Neodiprion lecontei: one gene and its partners. The protein of the gene in region 4 purifies or fractionates together with the protein of the main gene of each other region. This does not show direct contact. Links are inferred from orthologs where the notes say so. Each region holds a gene or a part of one and is shown on either strand. Other genes may lie near its edges.

Region 1 (6,721 bases), about 4.4 Mb from region 4:
ACAATAATCGGCTACAATATGTATTATTCACCGGCTACAATATGACAATAAAAGAATTGTTCATTTCGGTATGGGATTCAATTCGACACGCAGTCTATATATTCCATAACATTAATACTCAGAATTAGGAGTAGGAATAGGAGTGGGATCAAGACTAGAAGTAGGAATAGAAGTAGGATCAGGAGTAGGTTCAAGAGTGAGAGTATACAAATAGTAACATAGCTTTTTGTTATTGGTTTACATGAAGGTATTTGATCATGATTATTTATTTAGTACTATTATTGTAGACAAGTGGTTAAAAACTGAAGCAATCAATAATAATTATACAGCTAAATATTCAAGTAAATCCGAAAAAAGGTCAATAATAAAATCAGATAATGGAGAAAAAATATCTTTGATGTCGGTTCAAAGTGGAAACCAGGTTCTTCAAATGCTGCCATATGAAAGATCGAGAAAAGTACATTTTTTTTTTTCAATCAATCAAATATGATAATTTTCAAGAGAAACGTTGATTGTCGGTTATTTTTTTTCAATTGGAGATAACTAACGAAGCTTCTTAAAATTTCGAGTGTATTTTAACTCACATTCGGACAGTACAAGAAAAATCTCCTTATCATCAATTGTCGCAAAATGGCGAAGTTATTAGCTGGCCATTGAAGCGTCGCGCCGCTCGGGCTCGCTCGGGATCGGATGCCTACTGTAACTGGTTTTTGTGCTCGTGCGCTCGCTTCCTCGTTGTCAGTGTTTTACCAGATAACATAGTTGTAGGGGAGACTGGGGCACGATGACTGCCCAAAAAATTCTGGTATTCGCTTTACAGTATACAGAATGAACACTGTCTTTGCGCATGTGACACAAGCCGAATCTGCCTGTAAGATTATTTCTATATAATGCCACAAATCACGTTTACAGATGAATGTAAGTACAAAGTATTGTGATTTTGAGACAATAAATTTCGTCAAAAAATACCACAGAACAATCAGCTAAGTGTTGACAGATTTGAAACACTACGCACAGCAATGTTAGCTCCAATTGAACGACGTTATTGTTATGTATTTCTATGTATACAATGCCAACCACTCATTAATTGCAATTTGTTGATCCTGGTTGTTCGGTTTTTTTACCGATTCAAAATGTTATCTGAAGCATGTATTTTGGGTTGATAGCACAAAATATGACGTTTTCAATAATCAAACTTGTAAACTTGAATATTAGTTCGGAATGTCAAAAGTCATCAGGTCACGGACCTGGAGAGCCAGAACTACGGCATTCTAGTCCTGGAAGTCGAGTTTCAACACGTGGCGGACCTGGAGCGCAGAAACTACGGAGCGCTGATCTCGGAAGTTGAATTTCACTAGGTAGTGGGCCTGAAGCGCAGGAACTACGGAGTGCTGATCTCGGAAGTTGAATTTCACTAGGTAGCGGACCTGGAGCGCAGAAACTACGGAGCGCTGGTCCCGGAAGTCGAGTTTCAACACGTAGCGGACCTGGAGCCCAGAAACTACGCAGCACTTGACCTGGAAGTCGAGTTTCACCAGGTAGCGGGCCTGGAGCGCAGAAACTACGGAGCGCTGATCTCGGAAGTTGAATTTCACTAGGTAGTGGGCCTGAAGCGCAGGAACTACGGAGTGCTGATCTCGGAAGTTGAATTTCACTAGGTAGCGGACCTGGAGCGCAGAAACTACGGAGCGCTGGTCCCGGAAGTCGAGTTTCAACACGTAGCGGACCTGGAGCCCAGAAACTACGCAGCACTTGACCTGGAAGTCGAGTTTCACCAGGTAGCGGACCCGGAGTGCAGGAACCACGGAAGTAGAGTACCCGGTACTCGAAATTTGCGGAGCGCGACTCTCATGCGTCCGCTCTACTGCGCGGTTATTTCCAGACTGAGGAATTCGGCCAGCTGATTTTCGGCTATATAGATCGATGACGTCGAGAGAAAAAAAATTTTGAGTGACGTCACTTTCTGAACATCCGAAGATCCGAACATCCAAACTTTGGTTTTAAACTTTAATACTATGTATGATGTATGATGTATGATGATATGATGTATGATGTATAATGATTTTAGTTTTCACATGTCAGAAAGAAATACGCACTTTATCTTTCCTGCCGATTCAAGACTCAAGCGGCTGAGCCCTTCGATGGTCTGCCGTTGACTAAATATATATTTTCCAGTTAACGTCAGCTAATAATGCTGCCGTTCTGAGACAGTTGGATGATAAAAATTTTTACTGAAAACTAGTTACAAAAATTTACCCAGAGGTATCCGTCTTTATTTTCTTCAGTTAATGGTTCCAAGAAGAACTGAATTAAAATCTAATCACATTACCGCTCGGTGAAGAGGATTAGTTGCTAAATTCTCGTTTCCATACCTATGAGGCCATAAGAATTCTTATAATAAACTGCACTAAATTGTCGTCATTCGAATAAACTGCATAAAATAAACGTAAAACTCGTCCGCGAAGATCATTTTCAATTTTGAATTTACCTCCAAACTGCTTTCTGTATGACCGGCTGACAATTAGGTAGTCGTGATGATAAATTTTGTTCGGTAATTTTAACATACGCCTCAGCCGGCAATGCTGCTTTCATCATTCAGTTTGGTTTTCATTTACCAATCGTCTCACAATTCATAATATTCACGCGCCACAACAGCGCTGAGTTAAAGTTGTGAATATCTCTTCATGGATATATAATTATTAGTGTACTGGAATTATAGCATAATTTTCAAGTTATGACTCAGTCGGAGAGAAATAATATTTTCATAAAGATCTGCGCCAAGTAACTTCAGCTCATGTACGTGTGTTTATAGTATAGAAGATATGCTATTCCTAATCTATGCAATTATTCATTTACGTCGATCATGATTCAGGCGAAGCAGTCACTGATTGCTCCAAACAAACTGACACATAGCTACATGTGACGTGATAAAAATCACTTCCAGTTGCTCTTAATGCTAAGGTTGACTTTAACTATTCTAACCTCTAAATATAGTTTGTCATATTTATGTAAACAAAACAAAGAGTACATAGCGACTTCACAGCATTGAATAGCTTTTGGTTCAAGCAAGAAGAAAAACTCCACCAGACCTACCGTTTCATACAGAATCCTTGTTTTTTCAGTTTCAAAGTGTTTTGTTTTCACTTTCTTAAACCATCTACATCTAGGTTATCTATCTAGGTTATTTTAAAATCAAAAGGTAATTTAACACTGAACTTCTCAAATACCATTTCAGGAGCTCTCCTTCGAAGATGCCGTTCACAGCTGATGCAGCGGCACATCAAATACAGGTACCAGCAGCATATTCAAAAATCAAACTCATCATCAAAATAATTTCAAATCAGTTTTGTCAAATGTTTCATATCATATGAATAACAATGGATGTTGCAGGAACGGCTCAAGAACATATACAATTTAATATTTGAGATAGAAGAAGAACGCAATCGATCTGAACATAATTTAAATAATATCACCAAGGCTCATGACAAAATAACACCAGATGATAAAGTCTCTCCTTACTATCAACAGAAATTAAAAAGTTTATATAGCGCTGCTGTCTCTGATGCTCAACAAGAAGAGGAGCTGATACGAAAAGCGCTGGCAAAAATTAACGAAATTAGGGCAATTCGAAATGAGCGTAGAATTCAAGTATGTCAATGTGAAAGGAACGGATTATTAAATTCAGAAAACCAGGGATTGTCCAAAAATCCAAGGGGAAATATAAAATTCAGATAGAATATTGCCATAATCATAGATAAAGTCCTTCCAATTATGTGTAACAATTTTGCATTCTTTTGAACAACTGAGGCACCAAATTATTCAGATTCTAATTCACCATAATGTCATTGCAGACAAAAATATACTCTCTAGATACTTTGTACATACCTATGTGAAACACTTGGAAAACAGCTGCTTGCTAGCGATATATTATTCATGCAGTTTACCAATTTTTCAATTGCTGGAAAAGTATGACTAAAACCTTTGTTCTTATACAGGCGCGTAACGCAGGAAACAAGGAAACGATACGACGAGGTGCATTGATGAAAATGTTGTTGAGCTCTGCACAAACTCTACCACTATATGTGGGTAAGTCACCTGGAGCAAAACCACCGCCACTATGTGGCGCAATTCCAGCTGAAGTTACGTACATAGCAAAGGTACGAAGGTAATAGTTTGTAAAATATTTCAATTTACGCCATATGAGATATTGATGATATTTTTGAGATGGGAGATATGGTTGCCGCGCTGGTAAAAGGATCCGAAGAGGAGGAGAATTGGATTCTTGCTGAAGTCGTTCAATTTAATCCAACGACGAGTAAATATGAAGTTGATGACATAGATGAGGAACAAAAAGATAGGCATGTTCTTTCAAAGCGTCGTGTTGTCCCTTTGCCTCTGATGCGAGCAAACCCGGAGACCGACGCCCATGCATTATTTCCCAAAGGATCTATAGGTATGATTATATGCTTGTGGTATAACTCACTACGGTTATAACAGTTGTATTCCCAGCTCTATAATGCAGTATCATTTTGCTTTTAAAGTTATGGCGCTCTATCCCCAAACGACATGCTTCTACAAGGCTGTTGTTAATCAGCTACCGACTACCGCAACTGAAGAGTACGAAGTACTATTCGAAGATGCAACATATGCGGACGGATACTCCCCACCTTTAAATGTTGCGCAACGTTACGTGATATCCATAAAGGAGAGTAAGAAAAATAAAAGTCAGTCTTGAAGAGAAGCAGAGTTATTATTTATAATCCGTAACGAATCGTAATGACACCGGAAATTTCTAAGCAATAATGCAGATATACGTCTAATTGAGATGCTGTACAATTCAAATCATGCAATCATCTCACTGCCATCAAATTTTTTTTTCGTTACAAGAAGAAATTACGTAGCTAAATGAACAAAAATTGATGCTTTAGTTATTAGATATTTGTAATATCATCAAACTGTATATAATCAATAAACAGGAGAAATTTTATGTGCCAGGATGTATATGCATTTTATACAGATTGCGCACATATACATTCTTTGCTTTTCATTCCAAAATACTATCAAAGTTATTATTTCAGTTACTCAAAATTACGCATAAGGATTCTTTATTTGTCCATTCAATCATTTTACATTTATTTTTTAACATATTTTTTCCTCTTATCTATTTTCTTTTCTTATTTTTCTTTCCTAGTGAGAAATAAAAATTGTTCATGAATACGTGTTATGTCGCTGAATCGAAGGTGATGCTGCACCGCACCTGCAAAATACTTAGCGACATGGGAGTAATGTGGGTTTAATTAGACTTTCGGTCTCTAATACGAACACCAGAACTTTTTAGTGCTCAAAACGCACTTGGAAGTACATTATGTATAAATATCGGTAATAGCGATCAATCCTCATCTTACAAAGTAGTATTCAACGCTTTTTTTTAAACTTTAAATCAAATTAAAAATCTATCCTTAAAACGTTCCTACTTAATCAAAGTTGCAATGACATGAAACTGTGTTGCTTTTGAAAAACTATATGTTCAACTAAAAAGAACTTTAAAGCAACTTCTTTCGCCAAATGCATACAAAACTGGTCAATGAACTGATTAACTCGTTATTAGTTATAAACTATGAGATATAATTCTATTCATTCAGATTGTAGTTCAATGAATTTGTTTTTCATTTTTATTTTATCTGCTTGTTTCATTTAGGCTTCAGTGCGTGAATTACCATATGGATATCTTGTTTTTTTTTTTTTTTTTTTTTTTTTCAAAAAAACTTATGATTCCCAGCACACTCTCATTTTTAGGTATAATATATGAAAAAGGTGTCACCGACGTGGGCGTTCACTGTATACATAAAACAATACCTGAATAATTATGTGCCTGACAATTATTTAATATTTGGAATTATGATGAAGTTAATGACAGATATTTTATTTCATGAGTGACATGAGTTCGTATTTTATATTTTTACAAATCGCTGTAAGACAAATGATCTGGACCAATAGATAGTACTTGTACGTTAAACTGTTTCAGAAAAAATGAAAGAAAAAAAAAATAACTAAATAATCGAAGACAAGGATAAACTTGAAAATTTTGATAAATCACTTGTGCATTCAGCTATAAATGGCAAAATGACAGCTTATCTGGATCGATAATTATGATACCGACTAAAGGAAAAAACTGATCATTTGAAAATCATTCGAACTTACTAAGGTGTGAGAATGGGGGGAAAAAAAAAAAAAAAAAAAAAAAACCGGAATGGAAAGAAATAAGTATTCAATGTAATATGTTTACATGAAGAACTGATTGTTACAATATAATTCTTATTGATCCAGCTCTTATTGCTGTTTTAATCAGTTTTCGCTGTCACGTTATAGTTATACGATGAACACTTATTTTGTAATAAAAAATATATGGTGCCTAAAGTACAGAGATAATAAATTACAACACTAGATCGATACATCAATAATCATTCCGTATGAAATGAATTTTTTCACCGTTTATCATCGACATGGTTAAACGACAGAATATATTTTGAACGAGAAACCTTCTTCCTCTTCGAGTCAATGTCAAATATATAAAAATTGAATATTTACTCGCAGCTACCTAAAACCTTCAAGATCAGGAAGACCTACTATAAGTTGTCGCTGTAGGGTGATTGAAAACTTATGCTAAAAAATAAATTGCTGCAATTATTAGCAAATCAATTGAACTACAATTGCGAATGAT
Region 2 (6,636 bases), on a different chromosome or scaffold from region 4:
AGTTGACGTTATTGTCAATAACAATACTTTCCATCGAGTGATTCTAATAAAAAAAGATGCAAATGAAGCGCCATCTACATACTTTCGAATAAAACAAAGGCCAATAAACTGAATAATTTGTTGTTGAAGTATAAATTCCCAAAATTCACTCACTTTTTCAGCCATCTCGTTTATACTCCCATAAAACGGTTTATTCATTAGTTGATACAATTTCTTCAGCTCGGCCGGCACTTCCCACCCGTCTTGAAATGACACACACCGTTAAGTTCATGGATGAAGGAATGCAACTTTTGGAAAGTCCTTTGGATTTTTTATACGATCAACAGGATTTTCTGGTTGTTGGATGTGTCGGAACCAGAGGAGTAGGAAAGTCGACAATAATGTCATTGTTGACCGCCAATTACATGTAACGTAGAACACGTTTAATGAGTTTTTGTTACTGAGAGAAGACTTTGTAGAGATCGATTGCTTCTTACCATTTCAATATACAGACATTAATGAACAAGATTATAATGCATAGAACGTTTGCTTCTCACTGATTAATCACGTACTACTTATTTTCAGGTCTGATGTTTTTCCAACACAAACGTTGTCGCATCACGAAAGTGGCTCGAATTGTACGTCTGGCGTAGATTTCTATGTGACTAAAAACCGAGTTATCTACTTGGACACTCAGCCTATATTATCTGGGGTGGCAATTGATCACTCTGGATTATACGAGCAAAAGAAAAATAACAACGATTTTGCAAACATAGAAAATAACGTGGAACTGCAATCCTTACAGTTAACATCGTTTCTGCTGTCTGTTTGTCACGTTGTAATATTCATTCAGGACTGGTTTGTAGATCCCAATTTAATCAGGTATCTACTTTCTAACAGCTGAATTTATCTGATCCAAATTAATTAAGTACTTTATTTTACTGGTTTGCTTTGTTCGCTATACTTCAGATTCATTCAAACTGCCGAAATGCTGAAACCTTCTTCGGCGTCTGCTATGGATCAAGACTTTGTCGAATATTATCCACACATCCTCTTTCTGCACAATAAAGCTGAGTTACAGGATTTCATGCCTGATTCTATGAACATGATGAAAGTAAGATAGATTTAGTAACAAGTAGTAACGGATTTTTTTTTAGATAAAACCTCTCAAATTAGAGCTTGTATTTCCAGGAACTAGAGGATTATATCTTATCAGAAAAATATCATTTCCAAAAACATTTCTCACACATAATAAACCTTAGTTCTCAATTTCCAGGACTTTTATAACAAAGTATTTATAAACTCTAGACTGCTGACACACAGTGGATTAAATATGGCTTCATCCGTCGTTGATGGACAACTAAATTTATTCGTTATACCAGAAATTACAAACGAAGGTAAAAATCCAATTCAGATGAAAGCAGAAACGACTCGTATCTACATTTTGTATGAGTGTTGTACACAGTTTCCTGACTTCAATAACTTTGAATCGGCGAAGTGATTTTACTTAATGAATTGTTTCAGATGAGACAATCGTTCATGATAGTGCAGAAAAAATATCAGAAAAATTGCGTATGAGAATACATGGTATATCACGTAACAACATGACTTCAACTGTATTGACTGAAAAAAATTGGTTAGTACTAATTTGAGATACTCCGAGTTATATAGCAGACACTGAAGGTGAAGAATAGACATTGATCTCATATCTTTATTTACTAATTACAGGTACCATTATGCTTCCAAAATTATGGATACGATAAAGAAAAGTCATTTGTTTTCTGAATATGGGAGATTAATGCCGTGAAAACAACAATTTGGCAAAGTGGAATGAATGTAATCTTTCACAAAGGTAGGAACAAAAAATTTTAAATTTCATAAATATTCAATAGAAACGTTTACAAAAAAAAAAAACACTTCAAAGGTGTGGTTCGATTAAATTATCCAAAGAAAATAGGTATAATTAGGTTCACTTCTTTATTCTATCACATCATTCACATTTATTCATAAATAATGGTGGTAACGTATTCTAGGATACTCGAAATTATTTTCTTCTTCATTTCTTCTCTTTTTTTTTTTATGCAATTTACATAGATAAATCATCAAAGATAAACCGTTAAGACAATAAGAAGTGAATTTCTCATTTACGCTGTTCACTTTTATTGGAAAAATCGATTCATAAGTAGAGGAACCAATCAATTTACTCATTAGACTTGCATTGTCTATTTTAATGGTAATAATTTAGGAGTAATCTTCCTGCTCACTATCCGGCTGTTGCATAGAAGCCATTTGGGCAACGGCTTGCAACTGTTGCCACTGCTGTTGTTCAGCAACGGCTTGTTCCTCGCGTGCTTTTGCGAAGAGCTCCTGTTGTTGTCGAAGAAGTTCCTCTTCTGGAATTCCAAGATTTTCGAGCCTTGTACTTTGGCGTCTTCGCTTCGCTGCCACAGCCTTACAATCTCGCAATACAGCTTCAGCTTCGGCGCTATAATCTCCAAACCCCAACTTTTCCAATGCTTGTAATATATGCTCAGCATTAATTGTTTTCTTCTGCTGTTGATTGCAGATATCGTTCGCTTCAGAGGATAATAAATGTATGAACTCAGTACAGCAGTTCAATATTAACTCCCTCGACTCGTTTGCTACTCGTATATGGGGTAGGATTTCTTTTATCATTTTATTTATCGACGCTCGAGGTAAAGTTAGCTCATCGTCTTCAGCTGGAGTCACTGTTGCCGAGGCCATTGGAACCCTGAAAATCGAGGATCAAACAACGTTCAATAACTTTAGCAAACCTATTAAAGAAATGCTTTGAAAGTGTGTGCCAAGAAACAATATACCTTTATTCGACAAGTGAGATGAACACCGACAATAAAGAAATGTTTTCAGAAATGTATCGTTTCTCGTCTTGTAATCTAAAATAAGAGTCATTTTAGATGTAAATAATATGTATTCATTTGACGGCACTGCTTACATTGCAAATATACAAAGTCGATAACAGCTAAACCTTTAGGTAACAAGTGGGATTAAAATCTTTTGGCCACATTACTTTGTCAACTAGATTACAAGAATTGTTATGATGCTACAGGATAGTGGTGATAAATATTCTTCTTCACTGAACAGGAGTAGAGTTCACATCATTTCGACACAATGAAACAATACATCAGATGCGGACAGTCGACTGAATTAATCGAACAATCAAGAATCAATAAAAATCAAACTTGTACACTTTTTTTAATTTGTAGTTTCTGAGTAAAATGAATGCGGAAGTAACAAGTAAATGATCGATTGAACTATTGCAAATGAAATTAGATTTGCAGCTCGTCAGTTAAAGGAACTCTATGGTTTGTAGAACTATGAACAGGAAAAGAAATGTAAGAAATGTCTAAATATATTGCTAACAAATCAAGTTGCCTCTCACTTTTGTTGTAATTATTTCTCTCTAATCTTTGTTGTTTAAGCATACCAGGCGAATAAATAACAAAAGCAACAAATTTGTTTTACAATAAATTGAACCAATAAATGAATGACCAGCATTTAACCTTCAATAAATTTTTACCCAAAATATCATCTGCAAGCTGTTACAACGTTTCAACGATTACAGTCATTGCTGGTAGTGAAGGAGAAAGTAGAAAAAAAACACATCAAATGTAAGTGCTTGAATGTTAAAAATGAAATGAAACGTAACTGCTCGAATAAAACGCAAAAAGTAATCAACGAATTTCGAGAGGTGGTCATTATAAAAATCGAAAGCTTATTTAATCTGTTCAAATGAATTCCCTTCATATCACGATGAAAAAAATAACATTCCGATGTAATAATATGTCAGTAGTTAAGCGAATATATTTTCTTGTTTGGTGAAAAAAAAAAACCACTAATTAAGTGAATGTGGAACGTTATTGATGATTTAGCATGGGATACTTTATTTATGAAACACGCACATATGACTAGTTACGTAGATCTGGAGGTTATCATACCACGGTTGCTCAACACAAATTCACCGATAATACATCCTGGGACATCATAAATAAAAATACAGCGCCATCATTAGTTTTCGCAAGTTATTAAGTACGGTGTAAAGTTTATATCAATTGGATTCGGATTATGTTCTGAGATTGTAAATGAAACCAATTAAGCAATTCGGATTTTTAAACGCCAAACAACCACAGTTTGTGTAAGGAGTCAGGTGTCCTACAGCGCATGCTACAGCGCAGCTTTTCGGACAAACCAATGGAAACGTTCCGCTAGTTGGCATCACACAAGAGGTTAATTCAAAACTGTTAAAAGATTCTGAGGTAGATTAGAACTATTTTCAGTTTCACGATGACAACGGCACGTTTCTAACGTTTTGCCCGCGATAGTTATTGGTTATGAAGAACACCTTTTGCCGACGTGGTCAGCTACTTGGTTCGTAATACGCGAAACTGCTAATACCCCCAAACCCGGCCAGACCCTGCAAACTGTTACGAAAAAAAACCCAGGGTTATAAGTCTTTATACCATATCACGGCCTTATAACAGGTCTGGGCACTCCGGTTGTAAAACCGTGCTCGAAAATGAAGCCGATGTTGTGAATTTTCGCCGCTAGCGCTAGTGAGGGAGAGGCCTACTTAGTACGCATACACCGGCCTCGGAGATTGCAGCGCTCCGATCTTTGGTGCACAAATTGAGAAACACAGGCTTCAAGACAGTCACGCTGCGTTATATGGGGCTTGGGTGCCCTCAGTGGACCCAATTGATCAGCGCCATTTGCAATTTTGACGGGTCCGTTTCGAAGCGGGTAATTCAAACCTAAAACTAACCAGCTTCACGCGAATATTGTTCGATGGCGACGGTAAAATAAAACAAAAGTGCGGTAAACGGTAAAGCCTAGTGCCTAATACTAAGAAAAAAGTTAGTGAATTAATAAAAATGGTGAAGTACTTGTACGGTGGGAAAAGTTCAAGTCACAAGCGAACTAATCACAGGTTCACTTTTGCGCTTGCTTCAAATTGTTACTAATGTTTCAAGTCGCCTATTTGTAAGTAACGAATTTTATTGTGCCGATTTATTTTTTACTTTCCAAGGTTTTATAATGTGTTTGATCACTGATACTAATAAATTTACTACCTATATATTACTAAAATAAATGAATTCTATTAATGCTAAAGAGATACATAAATAAAGCTCAAAAGTCAGAAATTATATTTCCATCGTCCGTAGCCAATATCCTTTTTCTTATTGGAATTCTATTTATCGGCATTTTTTAACCCGAAATACAGGCCTTTTTAAAAAAAATCGCGTTTATTGGTTAATCAAAAACCCCAAGCTTGCCCTTTCCTCTGACCCCCCCCCCCCCCCCCTCCCCCCGCAGCTTACATGCCTTCTGATGGTTCCACTCTGTAGCACGTAGAAAGCACGAGAAAGAGTCCACTATCCAGTCTACATAGAGATCAGTGATGGTGATACAATTAAGGTGCGCAAAAAATATAAAATTCAGGCATGGGGTGGTCGAGAAATCGTTAGCCCGATCGTTAAAAGATAAAAATAAATACGACTACATTTTTTGCCTGCAACTACAGCATCTGATGTCCTGAGAATTGAGATACATACACGTATACATACAATAAGTAGGTCTAGTATTGACTAGAATCAGTCACAATTTTTGCAAAAATCAAAACAGTTACCTTTTTTTTGCATTTTTTAGTTCATGACAACTTTCTGGTAATTGTGCTGATAAATTAGCTCCGATTGAGCCTTAGTTTCCGTCTCACAAGTAAAATCCGGTTGTTCTACCTTCGCTCATTTCATTATACTTATCAAGAAACAAAAAGTTGCCATTTGTTCACCAACTTTATTATTATCAAATTCTTACAGTACTTGTTATTAGGAAAATTATATTAAAAACCTTTGCATAGAAACACTTTGAATATTAGAAAATCAGTAATTTATCGCAAAAGATTCGAATTCAGTGACATTCTATTATTTGCATGCATCGCAATATTTTTCTTTTTGTCCGTAGAAAAAGCAGTATTGCAAGGCTAATATAGGCATGGAGCATGAGTGAATCAGATCTCAATACATCGAACGTGATTCAAAGTGGGTTCACCGAGAAGAGGATTACTCGCGTAAAATGGAAATTTTTCCATCCCATTGCAGGCGGCTCCGTACGCGCCATCCTTATTAAGAGCAATAACTCCACCAACGAATTTTGGATAATGCTGAGCTATGCGACGAACTGCTGTCTCAGCAGCATGGCTTGGAGCCGCTCCGCGGCGCATTTCTTCCACTGCTAGGAAGCTGAAAAACGGAAGTTATTCATAAACCAAGGCGCAGATTAAAACTATCATGATTAAATAAAGTAATCAATCAATATAATGAATTGCATCAAGACAAGCAATGCTTGTATTGAATTCTCGTCTGATCAATAACAATAATATTACACGAATCATCTGCAGAACACATGTCTACGTTTCTCAAAGGGACATATACACCTCTGAAAAAGTAATATAGAAAAGAGCTATTGTGTCAAAATAAAATGTTTTGATTTGATCAATTCACACCCACCTTTATTATAACAGATTACTGATACTTTACAGTAACATTCATTAAGACCAAAAGGAAAAAAAGTGGTTGTTATAGCATACCCACTGCATCCATGCATCAACAACTTCTGAAA
Region 3 (9,466 bases), on a different chromosome or scaffold from region 4:
AACATATTTTTGGGGTATTATCGAAAAAATTCCAAAATGACCAAAATAATGGACACCCTAGTATGTATGTTATTTTGCTTGATTTGGTCAGTACTATGAAAAAATATTGGAACCCTAATAACCACACACATATACACACACCCTATTTTCATAAAGCTTTCCCCTAAAATTACGTGGCTTGAGCACTGTAAAGTCTAAATCTGACGAGATGAGTGCAACTAAATATTTTTACTAAACTATACAGAAATTCTCATCTTGAGTAACCATATCACGTCACTACATGAGTAGTGATTACTAACACATGAGGTGGTATATTGCTATTTACTACATGGTGAAATAAACTTGATGCATATGACCAAGTATGAAAAATGATGCTTGATAATAATATGATAGGGAAAGCAAAAATATATTTGACTTCAAGATGGGCTTCTGCAAAATGCCTAATGTTTTTTAATTACAGGTTTGCTTGGAGAGATTTCTGATCCTATGACGTATATGGCAGATTTATTGCGGAGTTTAGCCTAAGTTTCGCAAACATACCACCACTTTTCGCTTTTTTGACCGATTTAAGTTTTCTGTAAGTAGATTAACCTTTTTAATTATAGATATACACACGAACTATAGATAACCAGTCTCTGCAGAAAAGGAAATACCTAACTTGTTTGTTTATCACTATGAAATGTTTCATTTTAGTTTGTTACATAATAAGTTACTATTTGATGTGTTTAAATAATGTGTACCTAACTCTATATTGCAATGTTATTTATGCATAGATATAAAAATAAAGATTTGTGCTTTCGGAAAATTCGATGTAATAAAGCATTTGCGTGTAATATGTGTTCAGTTTACTCTGATCAAAAGTTTTTAAAACAATTACTTTTGGTGTACACCAATGTAACTTTCAACTATTTCTAGAAGCCGCATATCAAGTTTCAAGTATACTTCAAAATTTCTGATGCTCTTTCCGATAGTTGATAAAAATAAAAATTTAACTTCATAAAAATTAAAATGAAATTTAATTCTTAATATTCTTCGCGATAACTAATTGAAAGTAATGAAAAAAAAATTTTTAAATGAACAAACTATTTAAAACTGTTTTCATTCAAAACTTTTAAGAACCTTATGTGAGTTACTATGACTGTATATACGCTATGATTATTTTGCACACTTGTTTTTCTTAATTTGAATTTTAGATTTCAAGTAATAATTATAGCAATCTCTGCAGATTTATGCATCAATGTTATATTTATTTATTTTCTCATATCTGGAACCATACAAAACTATACTATCTGTAGTTACAAACGTAAATATAGAATTTAAATAATAATTATAAATGATCTTATTTATTACCGAATAATAATTAATTGTGAAATAAGTCATAGTAAACGATGATACATAAACAATTGCGTAGTCAGAAAGATCCCAAAATATATAGAAAGATGTTCCAAACCATCATCAACTACAGGCCCTTTTATTCTATTTTTTTTTTTTTTCACACGTACGAATGGCTGAAACAAAGCAGTAGGATGCTTAAATATGAAATACTCATGAGAACTGGCCACGGCTTCACGCTTTGCCAAAGTTGGAAAGAATCAATTTTTGGATCTTACTAGGTAATAAGATATGACAAGTTTACGTTCCTTATGTAGTAAATTGACCACCATTAACAATCGAAAAATATGCACGTGTTTATTGTATTTCAAAGGGCCGTTACTGTTGAATACTTCCACTATATTAGTCTGCGCACTTGAAAAATTTGTTCTTTTCATCGTTTGTTTTTTTCTACATTTGCAGATCAAAGATATAACTGGATGTCACTTTATATTTATGAATAAATGAACGCACTATAAAGTCTGTATTTACATCGTTAAAAGTAAGTGAATCTGTAAAATGTTAACAGATTTACATGCGTGGCAACAGTTTTCGATTCCATTATTCTTTGAATGTCAAAGAGATTACAGACATGCCGGGATTCATATCCGAATTACATAGCTGGACTGTGCATCATCCAAAACTCTGTACCTCAAAAAATACCGCGTCATATTTCTGCATACAATAATCAAGCGCTGATATCTCACAAATGTCAGTTCTTCACATTTACGAAAATAAAATCACCATTCTATTTTCTTCATTTTATAGTTCCTTTAGTCACGTTTTATAGGAAACAGATATTAAGTAATTTGTACAAAGAATCTATCTATTTGAATTAGTAAAGATTCGATTTATGTGTCACTTTTCCATAATTTTATTGTTTTATCATCTTCTAATGCTGCAGATGCAATAATGTTGTCCGTAGGATGGCAAGTCGTACACAAAACAACATCTGAAATATAGTATAATATTTGATCATGAATATTTTTTTTATTAGATGGCTTTTAATGGACTACAAAGTCATGCATCTGATTTACCTGTGTGTCCTTGCAATTTTTGAACGATTTCTTTCGTTTGTAGGTTCCAGATATAAACCATTCTGTCTTCTGAGCCTGATACAATCCACTGTACAGAAAAAATACATTAAAGATTAGATTCAAGAACAGCTAGGTAATATGCAAAACGTCGAACTTATGAAATTTACCTTGCCACCAGTGACTGAGAAATTTGCAAATATGCAATACTTTTCATTTCGATGACCAGTGTAAGTTTTTAAGCATTTTCCTTTGCTATAGTCCCACAGTTTTAATGTGTTATCCAATGTAGCAGCTAATATGTATTTTCCATTTGGCGAAAATTTCACAAAAGATACAGGTGGATTGTCGTCGTCTATTAACGTTTTCAAACACTGACCAGAAGCTGTATCCCAAATTCGACTAAAATTGCCAAAAACAAAATCGAAAATGGTAAAATTGAACTTGAATTTCATCTGTTTATCTCTCGTTTTCTTCAGATTATTTCTTACCAAAGACCGTCGTAACTGCTTGAGACAATCAATGAGCCATCTCTATTAAAATGCACTGCACTGACAGGATCAGAATGAGCTGGTAATGTTTTTAAACATTTTCCAGTTCGCACATCCCATATTCTCACACTTTCATCAAACTGCAACATAGTAAATTGCATTAATTGATGTGTTACAAGAATTTATCTGTATTGAATAATAACTTTTGTCATATTTGTACAATGCATACTTAAGACAATAACCTAAACACTTAATAGTGTAAAATTATTGTTAATGTCAAATGTGTTTTACTCACAGAGCCAGATACAATTAGATTCGATTGAGGATTGAAATTACAGCAAAATACGTAATTGCTGTGTCCCTTTAGAGTCTTCAGACACTTTCCCTGAAAATATATCAATCGATGCATGATTTCTGTATCACATTCTAGGTGAAGTTGAATTTTAAGAGCTTCGATGGGCAAATGAATGGAAGTTTAAAGTACCTAGTTGAGGAAGACCAAAAGAACTTGCAACTTTCAAAATCTGTTGAAAAAACCTTATGCATATAGAAAAATTCAAATATAGTAAATCAATCACAATATACATGAAATGGCAGGTTGAATAGAGATGCCACAAATTGTAGTAAGTATACACTCAAAACTTTGAACCCAGTTTTGCCGAAGTGATGTTAGACTATAATTAGAGTATGCTGTAGTTCACTAGTTTAATTAAGGGTTACAAATTCTACTGAACCAGTTAAGACTTTGAAAAGAAGGGTATAATTTCCAGTTTTGCCAATCAAAGCTTTGGGTTGCTAGATTTTTATAATTAGAATTACATGGAGGTGTGTTAATTCCTCCACAGTATAACATAGTGGAAAACTCACAGAGCTCAACTCCCATATTTTCAGGGTTTTGTCATCCGAAGCTGAAACTAACAATCTGCTATCGCTTGACCATGCCACATCCGAAATTCCCAACTTATGACCCGATATTGTTTTCTCGAATTTGCCATCATAGGATCCCCATATTTTTATAAGCTTGTCAGCCGCTAATGAATAGAAAAATTCGCATTATTGACATTTCACCAGCGTAGTAGATATTCTACAAAAGCATCAGTACTTTTCAAAATAACAGAATGTACGTCATGTTATTGAAGGAGAAAATATCTCGAACCAGTTCCCAAACATACTTACATGAACTGGCTAGCCATTCACCATTCGGACTAAACTTGACAGAAGATACAGCTTTGGTGTGTCCAGCAAGCGTATACTTCAATGTATAATTTGGCTTCTGGAAAATTCATAATTTACGATTACTAAGAGCTGCCATACTATCATTTCGGCCTACTTATAATTTGTTGCGAAATTGCTAAAATTCAACAGCCAATTAATCAAACATAGAGTCCTATTCAGTTTGCACTTTTTTGTGAGAAGGAGTTGCTCAATTTTTCAACACCAAGAAGAATCTAAAATCTGCATGTGCAGAGTAAAGTATGAATGACTTACCAAAGCTGAACTGCCCTTAGTGCCACTGGTTGGTGTACTGGCTGAATTGTTAACAGATTGCTGATGGCTAGGAGACGGACCGAGGGGAACCATGTTAAGGACTGGCTCAAATTTGAACTAAATATTTCTTAAGGTTCACAGCCAATCTGTGAAGGTAAATTGAGGTTATGAAGAGCGAAGAACCGGTAGTTAACGTTTTGGATCTTCATAGTTCTAGTAGCAGGCGGGACAGTGGATAATATTTATTCTATTATATACAAGGAGTATCATCGAGTTAATTGTACTGTGGTAAACAAAAAAATACGGTCACAATGACAGAAGTCGGAACGACGCAAACCTTTCATTTCCTGTATCTACACTGCCGAATGCCACCACGCGCGCGTTATTTTCGCCGACTACTGTGGTAGGGTTAGAGAACACGGAAAAATTTACCAAGCTGATTCCAATATCTCGTCAACCAGGATTTTATCACAATAATTTAGGAGCTTACGGTGAAAATTCTACAAAATCTGCAATAAAAACGCAAACAAATCCGCAACGTGTGATTAAAACACTAACCGCCATTCCACTGTTTAACCTTGTTCTCAGATTCGACGTCGATTCGAACCGCGTGTAGCAGCACCGTTCGTCTACGAATTGATAACTGGCGTTCATTGAAAAACATAAAGACGGATACCGCTGCGCAAATTTTTGTGATCAGTTTTCGGCGGCAAGTGGGCCCTGGTGGGCCTGGGAGCGTGAGAGGGTTCTGCTCGATCCACTCTACCTAACGAGCTCGCACAATCATTCGTAGCAGCAAAAATAGTGTCGGTATGAAAGCTTGAGATGAGCGGGTAGAGAGTCAGTACGTATGACTACTTGTCAACTGCGACTTCGAAATGTGGATCAGCTCGATCATCCCCGTGAGAAGAGCGTACCCGCGTCCACCGCCAACAACCCCCAACTACCTCTGAGCACCTCGAACCACCTCCGACCACCTTCGTCCTCCTCGGCCACCTCGTCCCCTTGTCGTCCGCGTCCTCATCAACCACCTCTGATCACCACCAACCACCTCAAAACACCTACCGCCTCCAAACATTTGATGGCAATTGTAATTATATTTTGTCTCAAAGTTTTTGCACTTGTCATGTTTACTATAAATTATTTCAATTCACTTTTCGCGCAAGCCCAAGTTCAGTAGCTTTCAATGCGCTAATAAACTTTCCACAATTTTTTATAATTTTCTCATAATCTTCCTGGTAAAATGTGTCAATAAAGAAATTATATTAATCCTTACACAATATTTTTGATGTGTTCTAATACTAAAAATATTTATTAGTACTCGGGGTATAACCCGAGGTGGTTGGCGGTGGTCGTTGGAGGTGGTTGGCGGTGGTTGGAGGTGGTCGGAGGTGGACGAGGAGGAGGACGAGGAAGACTAGGAGAACAAGGTGGACAAGGAAGACAAGGATTTGTGCTCGGTGAGTTCAACATTTTTATAATATTTGATGAAGTAGGATCAGGGTCAGGAGTAGGATCAGGAGTAGGATCAGGAGTGGTAGTAGGAGTAGGAGTAGGATGAGAAGTGGGATCAGGAGTAGGAGTAGGAGTAGCAGTAGAAGTACGAATAGGAGAAGGATCAAGAGTAGGTGTAGGATCAGGAGAAGAATTAGTATCAGAAGTAGTCAACCACCTCCTCCCACCTCCGACCACCTTCGTCCTCTTCGTCCACCTCGTCCCCGTCCTCTTCTTCCTCCGCCGCCTCGTTGTCTTCGTCGTTCTCGACTTCCCCGACCACCGCCGCTCACTTCCAACCACCGCCAAACACTTCCTACCCCCTCCTGCCCCCACCAAACACCGCCAACCATCTCCGTCCACCTCCTACCACACCCTGCCGCCTCTTTCTGCTCTTTTTAAATCATATTATTTACTCAGAGTAATTTTAATCAGGAACTTTCTTAACTGGCGCTTACATCTTAATCATTTTTCTTCAACGTTGTAATTGCAAGATATAACTAATTTGTAATCTTCCGGATTGCAGGAAAGTCCGTCAATGGAACGGTCTGCTGACTCCGAAGGATCTCTACTGGATGTGGATGAAACTTTGGAAAGAAGTAAGGAGGTTCTAGGATCACCATTCTACGAAGAAAGTAATAAGGTCAAGAATTCTTAACTTGTATACTAATATCACCTTGTCTTCATTTGTATCAAAACATCTATGTTTGCACGGTCTTGATTGAAGTTGGAATTTCATGTTGACAATTGATTTCAGAACTGCGTCAGCTGTCAACTGGCCAATTAACAGAGCTTCTCGGTGAAATGGAATCCTTGGTCGGAGCGCTCAGCGAAACTTTAATAGCTGAGTATTATTATTATTAATATTAGCTTACTTTTGTAAGTATTTATGAATATAGCCTCCATGAATATTCATTGTTGGTATATAAGGTCTGGCAACGTACCAACTTTCTGTAAGAGATGTTAAAGATTTTCAACACAATTATGTTTTAGTTCTGTGCCCCACCTAGTGATCCACTAGTACATATCCTCCGACGTGACATCGCTGTGCTACGTATAAAGAAGAAAAGATTTATTAAGATGCAAATTGCTCTTCTCTTCTTGTCACTGTGCTTTCAGCCATTGTTGTGCCGTATGTTTAAAATTAAGGACAGTATATAATATAGAATAACACGTACAGCTACGAATATAGCACTACAATAAATCTTATAGAAATGAGCTCTCATTGTGATTTATCTGTATTTATAACTCGACGCGAGAAGGCAAAAATCAATGTAATGCCATCTGTAAGGTAATTTGACTCGTGTTTGCACTACGAGAACTCGTTGGGCATTTTGCGGTGAAATTTGAAAAATTGTTGTACAAGAAATTAAATAACTATAAAAATGGATAAAAAATATTATCTCTAATAGTGACTGTAGCTAATACAGCTTTAACCGTATATTGATTATGTTAATGATCTATTGCGACAAGATCGGAATTAGATAAGCTCTCTAAATACTCTTTTCTAGACTATTAATTTATATCATGTATATGTAAATGTATATTTCTTCAGTTTATACAATCACTGCACTAGGATTACCCTTGCCACGTTTTATGGTGCGCTTGGGTAATTTGTATATTATTAACTTTACGTTTTACTCTATTTGCGACAAGTTGTGAGTGTTTCTAATTTCTTGGCAATTATTTATGTACATGTATGTGTATATATGTAAATATATACTTATACTTAAAACTAGACTTTTACAATAAACACAGAGTTTTTAGTATATTCACATACGGATTTCTCTGTATAGGTATACTTGAACTAAAATATCCTTATCTCTAATACAGAGTTCTTCGTAATTCGCATTTGTTCTTGTAACCCAATGTCCTACATACAATGGCAAAAACCGAGATCCAACTTGACTGAGTCTCAAAGCCCTGTTGACATAAAAGCAGCTATTCGATAGAAATTATAGTTTATACTTTACACAGCCCATTGCACGATATTTCATTATAAATACATATGTTTCAATGTATTTAGGAATAATTTATCAAATATACAGAGGTCATGTGCAAATAATAAATGAATTGATTCGACCGCAGTTTGATGTATTCATTAGAGCTTTGACAATAAATTTAAGCTTTGTTACTTCTTTTATTTTATTATGGATAATCAAAAACATTTCCGACTATTCGTGCTGTGGAAGCATGGGGATTAAACCAAATGTAGCAAAAGATTAGAAACAGTGTATGTAGAGTACGGGTATTTTTCTAATAATGCAAATAGAATAGAATACCACGCCTTGCGAATTAGCTTTCCAGACAGAGATGAATGATGAATTTTAAGGACTGCATTATCGTTGTTGAATACTCTATGCCTCATGGGAAAAGAAAATCTGTAACGATAAAATTGATGCACCGGATCATCGTCGACTTTAACTTTTGAAATGTCCTACCATTTTCGAACACCTCCTACCTCCCCCTGCCACCTCCGACCGTCAATGGCCACTTTCGACCACCCCCTATCACCTTCTGCCAGCGCCGACCACCTCCTACCATTTCCGAACACCTCCAACCATCCTATTTACCTATACCTATTACTAGATTAGCTATGATATGAAAAGAGAAGAATTATTCATTTCGAAATGGGATTCTATTCGACGCGCGCTCGATGTATTCCATAACATCAGTATTCATAATTATTCCAACAACTTTTCATTTGCTCTCTCGATCTTGAATTTTCATAGGCATAGAATCGAAACGCTGTTTTAGCTGGTCGCAAGTGAAGCATCTGCGTTGGGTGGAGGAGCGGAATTGTTTTTCGAAAAGTATTCGGATGGAAAAAAATTCAGAGTAACTGCAATACATAACGGATGCGCTAATTCTGAACGAGATGAAATGGATGCTTCGTATATGAGACAGTATTTAACGCTGCGTAGTGATTTAAAGACCTAGAAAGGTGATAGGGAGAGAAAGAACGACGCTTCTTAACACTTCGAGTGTATTTTAACACACATTTGAAAGATACGAGCGAAATTTTTCATCATCCAACTGTCGCAGAACGGCAGCGTTATTAGCCGACCCGTTCACTGAAGAATATATCTTCAGTCAACGGCTGACCATCGAAGGGCCTGGCCGCTTGAGTCTGGAATCGGCAGGAGAGATAAAGTGCGTATTTCTTGTATGAAATGTGAAAGCTAAAATCATTATACATCATATCATATCATCATACATCATACATCATACATCGTACATCATACATCGTACATCATACATCATCATACATAGTATTAAAGGTCGAAACCAAAGTTTGGATGTCGGATGTTCAGAAAGTTACGTCACCAACTCAAAATCAGCTAGCCGAATTCCTCAGTCTGGAAACAACCGCGCAGTAGAGCGGACGGATGAGAGTCGCGCTCCGCAAATTTCGAGTACCGGGTTCTCAACCTCTCGGATCCCGCGCTTCGGGTCCGCTACGTATTTCGAGTACCGGGTTCTCAACCTCCAGGATCCCGCGCTTCGGGTCCGCTACGCGGTGAAACTCGACTTCCAGGATAAGCGCTCCGTGGTTCCCGGTTCATGTTTACAATAAATTATTTCAAT
Region 4 (7,089 bases):
AGTAGTCTTTTCCCATTGCTTATGATCCTGCAACAAATTAATCAATGTAAATTAACCATGTGAATTTGAAATAAATTGAATTTAAACCTACAGTAAAATAGTGGAAAAAAACTCCAATCTCGAATTCTTAGTGTAATGATCTCTAATGATCCATGTCATAATCACAAGTGGCGAGTGACACTCCAACCAAGAGTAAATACCCAATCAATAAAACAGTAGGACTGTTACGAAAACGAAAACAACACACGTCAAAATAAATTAATTGCAAATAGGATCCGATATGCGAAAGATCTAACCAGTGATGAAGAATGAAAATAGAAGTATAAATATTATCGAGTTGATTTGAACGTTACTAGTCCAATGTCATAGTGTCTTCAGATCCTTATAAAGAGTTAAAACTTGCAGAAAGTGAAATGTTCAATTGAATGAAATTACGACCTTGGATTTACGACGTTGGTACCAAAACTTCGTACAATCAAGGCTATTTTCTCAATAAGAATTTGTAGCAGCTGTAGCCAAAGATGAGAGTTATTAATACGGAGGGCGAAGATTAAAAAAGGCAACAAATTAAAAATTCGGTACGTTTTCAAACTTTGGAACTACTGACTACAGTGCGTAACTTTTACATGAAACGTATGGTGATAACGGTACGTTGAATTAACAGATATTTTTAAAAACAGTTTACACGGTCATTCGATGTGCTTTGCTACAGACGATACACTACATACAGGCCACAGAGGGGACAGCGGGCCCTACACACCCACGTATTAGACGGTCTATTTCTGGATATGATGAAACCTATAGCATCGAACAGTGTAGCAATTCCAAACAACTCAAAAATAAACTCAACGATCGAAGTGGATTGAGAATCACTCCCATTGCCATTCTCGTATATGCACGATCATCGCAGACTTCTAAATTTCGCGTCGCGTATATCTACATGATGGAGATAAATGCGGAGCTATTTTCAATTTCAGATTCTGATTTAAAATCCTACGCAGACAATATACTCATTTGAACTACTCACTTTGGGGATTATTTTATACTAGTTGTCGTGGGTCTGTTATATATCCAAATACACTTGATCACTAAACTGCTTAATAAACTCCAACACGTATTAAACGTTACTCTCGTAGCGTACGTTTCACGTCTTGTGATGCACTAAAGTATGGCGTAGGTTGCGCAGCCCATATATACAAACGTTCGTCTAGTACTTTCCGGAACTTTCGAGAAATGCCTCGGAGCTAGTCAGCGAACCTTCCATCAACTTCCGTACGTCACAACGTCGTTCGTTGATAGGAATTAGACACTAGTAATTTATGTTCTACACATTTCACAGCAGTTATGTTAATTTATTGAAATATTTCCTGGTTAAATTTTTCAAATTATTTTACTTGGCAACTAAAATTTTGGCATATTAAGATTGACAGGTGACTGACGGTGAACATAACCTATAACGTCAAAAGAAGAAATTATCCATGACGCCAGTAACTTATCACCTAATTATGGATCTTTCATGCAACTTTATTATGACAAATATGTTGATTACATGAATGAGAATATACTCGAAATCTACCTTCAAGTTTGTACTACACTTATTATACAGGTACTTGCTGGATAAAGACAGAATATTTTTAACAATGATTTTATTAGTTGTGTGTAGAATAAACGTAATTCAGTTATTAATCCAAAATTTACATAATATCTCGACAAAGGCAATATAACATATTATAAATAGTGTAGTCTCAAATGCAGTATGAAGTTATACAATTGAAGCTTTGCTAGTTCAATTGCCAACAATATATTGATACGGTGACTATTGTTGTGATATGCTGATGTCAAATAACATACGTACATACTTCCCTACCTGCATCAGAATTTTTTTACGAGTTGTCAAATTTCATCGACTTAGCCGTAAAAAAAGAGCATGTCGACAATCTCGAGAATTTGGTGGAATGTATTTATCATAAAAATCTTGAATAAATTCTTCAACTTTGAATCCGAATTTTTGATACAGTATTAAGGCAGGATTTGTTACAGATACATGTAGAGTAACATCTTTACCCATGCACGTTTGAATCAAATGATATAACATGAATGTACCGATACCAACTCGACGCCATTCTGGTCGAGTTACGAAAAACGAAATATATGCCTCGTTGTATCCCACATCTGGGACCAAGACTGCAAATCCAATGACCAATTTCTTATAAAGCACAACACAACTGAAATCTGGATACTGCAGGCACTCCGTTACTGAAACAAGCATGGTTGTTTGATTTCGTGTTATTTATATAATCGTTTCATTCTGCAGGCATGGTGGTATATTGAATACATTTGTGATTCATTAACTAATTGAATATACACTTACAGTCAATTCCAGGCCAGAAAAATTGGCTACACAAGCTATTTATTGCTGGAATGTGCTGTGGTCTGACATAAGAATAATCTATTGGTGCTTCTTTGGAGAATTTCCATTCTGGATTCTTTTTATTGACCTTAACCTGGAGCTCTTCCATTAATTTGAGCCACTGAGGTCGACAAGATGTGTCTCTTCTTATAAAAGGTTTCAAGATTCTGTTTGTATATGGGCTATGAACAGCTGTTGGTTCATTGTAACCTTGTAGTCTTTTTTCGTAAGCACCCCCTAAACCTTCATTAACAAATCTGTCCAATACACGGTTATTTCTTTTACGATTTCGTTGTAAGAAGTCTGATTTGCAACCGAAAGAGTCTAAATCAAATACAGGTAAACCATGTTCCCTCTTGAGTTTTCGAACTGCAAGTTTTCTGTATAAGCGCCTGACAGCAGGTGGTGCTGAATCCAAGTGTCGCTTATCCACTTTTTGTAAAATATATGATTCTTCTTGTTCACTCATCCGAATTTTTTTTTCAACATTACCTGCTAAAGAAGTATCTTCATTAAACAACATTTTTTAGAATAAATATTATGCTTATACATCTCGAAACTAGGTCCACTTGTTTTTTACTATTTGAATACGAATGTAAGAATTTAAAAAATAAATATGTTGATTCAAATGACGTACCAGCAATGTTCTTGTACCTCCAGGGCCAGTCTCGTTTCTCTGAAACATTAAAGAGAGATATCGTTGGTTGTTCTTGGAGAGAGCTCAGACTGTCACTACTATCCTCTTCATATGGTTCCTCTTCTTTGGTATCATCATTTGCATCATCTTTAACATCGTTATGGTTGCTTAGAATTGTTGCAGACGAAATAACGTTCATTTCCCAGTCAGTTGTAAAGTTGTCCATAAGTGTAAGCTGGTTATTGCAGGATTGATACGGTTGATAGCTCTGGTACTGAAAGTCTCTCATTAAATCAGTCAAGGAAGGTGGTTCACGGCGAACATTCAACTCAATTCCATCGTCTATGTCCAGCACATCCATATCTATAAAGCATAATTGACATAATATATAACATACCATGCCAGGACTTTTTGTTGTTCCATGAGATTTTGTTGCATTCTCCAATATCTAGTGCAAATTCAGGAAACAAACAAACTGAAGTATTCATTAGAGCATACCATGTACGTCGTCTTCAGCTAGTAGAAAATCTGATAATGTTTCACTGGGTTGAACGTAAGCTCGCGAGTACATGGACAGTCCTTGACTTCTCGATGATTCACCGCCATAATTACTATCTTCGCCGACAGAAATGCTTGATTCAGAAGGTGATGGACTGATTCGTTGTTTTGCCACTACTTTGGACAGAGTACCCATTTGCTTTTTACGTTCCAGCACAAGTTTCCCATCTACGAAAATATCAATGAGAGAAACAAGGATACCCATAATTTAATACACGTTTATGCATCTGTTGGAATTCCTCTTTGAGAGAAAATTTCAAGGATCTCATTTGAAAGACTTTGAATTTCTTATAACTGTCAGTTACTTACTCTTAGCAATGAGTACCTGAGGAGGATCAGTATCTATAAGCCTCCACCAGCCCGACTCGTTGAGTTCTGTAGTTCCTGATTTAAAAAAGACGCCGCTATAGTGAGATAGTGTACCAGATATTGTTCCTATCCAGTTTTTTTTTCGTTTCCTAAAAAGAATAGTCACAGTAGGCAAGATTAACACTCTGTAGCAAGATATTCAAAATATTTAATAAATTATGTAAAAACATTTTTTACATTTATGGCACATAGATTATATTTAGTTTTATTCTAATTTTTCATATAGCAAAAAATCAACTTACACAGACTTCTTGAACAGATAGTCCCAGTTGCGATCGACAAATGTACTAATGTCGGACTTCCAATGAAAATATCCCCTCTTACTTATCCCATTTGATTTCTCCCGTAAATTGTACAGAGTTAGTACAATGATATTCAACCACGACATTTTATCCCTAGTGAGAATTTCCTCCCTCGATGAACTACAGTCGGAACAAGTATATTGAAAGAATACGTCGCCTATACATGGTCCAGGTACTCCACCACGCTTCAAGCACTGGACATGCACATGCTCATTACAAACTCCTGAGCAATGTAGTGCAGGCTTAGTGTACGGATCACATAACTCTTGACAGTTTTTACATCTTGTTAACTCCGGCAGGTCTGATTCAATCTTCAGCTTAACCTCTTCCTCAATTGATTCCGCCATCGTTATGCGACTATGGAACTAAGCTTTCAACTGTGCATCTCTACACATGGGTATTATCATGATGTAAAGCAACTTTTATTTTAAGACTATAAGCGATATTCTTGTATAGCTGAAAGAATATTGACCATAATCGAATTGAATGACTCTTCTTGTTTAGCTCGTTATACAGCCGGTGTTTTCGTCTAGATCGTCGAGATTTAAATACCTATTTGATTGTCATTATAAAAAATAATTAGGTAATATTGGAAACTGATCATAACGAACATGACCGCAACAAATATTCAATCAATCAAGAAATAATTAACGTGAAAAGTACTCGAGCACTGGCTTTGGATGCAGGGTTGCGACATCTGAACCAGTGTGTAGGAGGTTTCTCTCTGGTGTAGGTACAGACTCAACATTTTGTTACCCATGAAAATCCAGGCCAGTAACAGATTTTACACGAGTCAAAAATGGCGGCAAGTATTAGCGGCGTGTTGGACACTGATCTACAAAATGCTGTGCTACGGAGTAAAGTTTTGGTTGTGGGTGCTGGTGGAATTGGATGCGAGGTACTTAAAAATCTCGTGATGACGGGATTCACTGATATCGAAATAGTAAGTCTGAACAATACTGGAATTTATGCGCATTTTATCTGAGGAGCCCTAACCTCTCCGTACTTCAAAGCAACAAACTGTTTCTTGTAAACCTGTATGCTCCAAATCTTAATTATTTTTTTTTCAAATGACTGTTCAAGCTTTGTATCTAGATTTATTTTCTATTTTTTTTATCATATGTTATAACTCAATGAAATAGCTAGTACTGTAGCATTAATAAACTAACAGAGCATGTTCTCACACTGTGGTAATTAAATTTCATTGCTAAGTCACGAAGAATATAATTTTGTCATGGAAAGTCGTAATCAACATTACTTCAATGGGTCGTTTTAGCTGTTTGATAAATTTGGATTAAAGCGAGAAGATATTTTTAAAGGTATTGTCTGTATCGAATGTCAGAAAATAACAATAATATTTCAGCAAACAAATTATATTCTAATGATTTGTATAATCAAATGCTCTACACTCAAGTACTTTAATGCTAAAACATTTTACGAGGGGAATTTGAAGATGCAAAGTGTTACATCAGCCGATGTTCTGTTTCTTCAACTATGATGTTTGATCCCAAAGTTATTTAAGAATTTTATACTACTATCCTGAAAATTGAAATTAAATCCCCTTTTTCAGATTGATTTGGATACTATTGATGTGAGTAACTTGAACAGGCAGTTTCTCTTCCATAAGCAACATGTTGGCAAATCAAAAGCTGCAGTTGCCCGGGAAACAGCATTAAAGTTCAACCCAGATGTAAAAATTACTCATTATCATGATAGTATTACCACGTGAGTAGTTTCCAGTAATTCTTACAGATTTCTATGTGGATCATCCTCGACATCCATTATAGGCTATTCTTCAATCAAATTCATGTTCGATGTATATCCAAAATTTAAACAAAACTTATGCTGGATTCTGAGTATCTTCTTTTATAAAGCAATGATATATTCATTTACAGTTCAGATTATGGTGTCAGCTTCTTCAAAAAGTTTAATCTAGTGATGAATGCTCTGGACAACAGAGCAGCAAGAAATCATGTAAATCGCATGTGTCTAGCCTCTGATATACCTTTGATTGAATCTGGAACAGCTGGTTACGAAGGTCAAGTTGAACTCATTAAAAAAGGATTGAGCCAGTGTTATGAATGCACCACAAAAGCTCCACAGAAAACTTATCCTGGTTGCACCATTCGTAACACTCCTAGTGAACCAATCCATTGTATCGTCTGGGCAAAACATTTATTCAAGTAAGGGTCTAATGTTTTTATCATCTGGCCCCAATTTTAATTCAGATTGAGAAATGACTTCTGCTTTGTGATTTTTGATGTGTCAATTGCAATAACTATATTTTCCCTTTCTATCTTCAAGTCAACTTTTCGGCGAGGAAGATCCAGATCAAGATGTTTCACCTGATACGGCGGACCCAGAAGCAGCTGGTAGTTATTTAACCAACGATTTATATTGAAAGTAACCCAGATCTACGACTCAATTGGCTACCAATATGTTCCTTGTTGAAGTGTGTGACGAGACGTTTTTTCACTTTTGATACGAAAATTGTCGTGTGTGAATTACAACCGTTTGAAATTGGCCAATCCAGTAATATCTGATTGCTCAGGACAGCTGCCAAGCGCATGACGGTCAATTGAGGAACCACGAGACTTATTTTAAGCCATTAGATGCAAACAACAAATTTCGTATGAGAAATAAAATACGTTTCAGTCGCAGATTTTCATGAGGAATACATTGGTAGCTAATGGAGTGATAGACCCAGGTCACCCTGATCTCTTAATCTGCATATTATGCTTCATTTCATCTTTTTATTCATTTCAGATACTGCGGGTGAAGGTGCATTACAAACAGAATCAAATGATAAAGGG

Evidence for each region.
Region 1: the proteins of cysteine-rich protein 2-binding protein (region 4) and SAGA-associated factor 29 purify together in Drosophila melanogaster (affinity purification with mass spectrometry; 5 studies listed by BioGRID). This does not show direct contact. The link is inferred for Neodiprion lecontei from reciprocal best matches to the Drosophila melanogaster genes Atac2 and Sgf29.
Region 2: the proteins of cysteine-rich protein 2-binding protein (region 4) and protein Dr1 purify together in Drosophila melanogaster (affinity purification with mass spectrometry; 4 studies listed by BioGRID). This does not show direct contact. The link is inferred for Neodiprion lecontei from reciprocal best matches to the Drosophila melanogaster genes Atac2 and NC2beta.
Region 3: the proteins of cysteine-rich protein 2-binding protein (region 4) and protein will die slowly purify together in Drosophila melanogaster (affinity purification with mass spectrometry; 4 studies listed by BioGRID). This does not show direct contact. The link is inferred for Neodiprion lecontei from reciprocal best matches to the Drosophila melanogaster genes Atac2 and wds.

The regions. Positions count from the first base shown.
Region 1 is NC_060260.1:35,360,675-35,367,395, reverse strand, and holds SAGA-associated factor 29, read left to right. Parts: upstream 1-2,805; 5' UTR 2,806-2,953; coding exon 2,954-2,961; intron 2,962-3,235; coding exon 3,236-3,290; intron 3,291-3,390; coding exon 3,391-3,648; intron 3,649-3,995; coding exon 3,996-4,157; intron 4,158-4,224; coding exon 4,225-4,453; intron 4,454-4,541; coding exon 4,542-4,735; 3' UTR 4,736-5,504; downstream 5,505-6,721. Other genes in the region: skin secretory protein xP2-like, read right to left, coding at 739-869, 1,248-1,824, 2,330-2,372, 2,489-2,592. UniProt on the Drosophila melanogaster protein: Component of both the SAGA and CHAT histone acetyltransferase complexes, which both predominantly acetylate histone H3.
Region 2 is NC_060261.1:17,282,696-17,289,331, forward strand, and holds protein Dr1, read right to left. Parts: upstream 4,238-6,636; 5' UTR 3,923-4,237; coding exon 3,921-3,922; intron 2,872-3,920; exon of another isoform or gene 2,732-2,871; coding exon 2,221-2,731; 3' UTR 1,934-2,220; downstream 1-1,933. Other genes in the region: protein SMG9, read left to right, coding at 220-406, 565-861, 949-1,093, 1,256-1,376, 1,504-1,615, 1,708-1,786; N(4)-(Beta-N-acetylglucosaminyl)-L-asparaginase, read right to left, coding at 6,026-6,257. UniProt on the Drosophila melanogaster protein: Bifunctional basic transcription factor. Activates transcription of DPE (Downstream Promoter Element) containing promoters while repressing transcription of promoters which contain TATA elements.
Region 3 is NC_060262.1:28,248,767-28,258,232, forward strand, and holds protein will die slowly, read right to left. Parts: upstream 6,574-9,466; 5' UTR 6,555-6,573; intron 6,522-6,554; exon of another isoform or gene 6,405-6,521; intron 6,358-6,404; exon of another isoform or gene 6,337-6,357; intron 5,845-6,336; exon of another isoform or gene 5,784-5,844; intron 5,763-5,783; exon of another isoform or gene 5,703-5,762; intron 5,475-5,702; exon of another isoform or gene 4,973-5,474; intron 4,962-4,972; exon of another isoform or gene 4,943-4,961; intron 4,876-4,942; exon of another isoform or gene 4,722-4,875; intron 4,531-4,721; 5' UTR 4,478-4,530; coding exon 4,385-4,477; intron 4,170-4,384; coding exon 4,073-4,169; intron 3,928-4,072; coding exon 3,764-3,927; intron 3,282-3,763; coding exon 3,192-3,281; intron 3,037-3,191; coding exon 2,897-3,036; intron 2,808-2,896; coding exon 2,576-2,807; intron 2,497-2,575; coding exon 2,409-2,496; intron 2,324-2,408; coding exon 2,223-2,323; 3' UTR 1,420-2,222; downstream 1-1,419. Other genes in the region: E3 ubiquitin-protein ligase UBR4, read left to right, coding at 461-525.
Region 4 is NC_060260.1:30,938,483-30,945,571, forward strand, and holds cysteine-rich protein 2-binding protein, read right to left. Parts: upstream 4,624-7,089; coding exon 4,217-4,623; intron 4,064-4,216; coding exon 3,915-4,063; intron 3,774-3,914; coding exon 3,546-3,773; intron 3,411-3,545; coding exon 3,048-3,410; intron 2,906-3,047; coding exon 2,372-2,905; intron 2,257-2,371; coding exon 1,901-2,256; 3' UTR 1,645-1,900; downstream 1-1,644. Other genes in the region: dnaJ protein homolog 1, read right to left, coding at 1-16; SUMO-activating enzyme subunit 2, read left to right, coding at 5,076-5,219, 5,847-6,001, 6,172-6,459, 6,581-6,648, 7,043-7,089.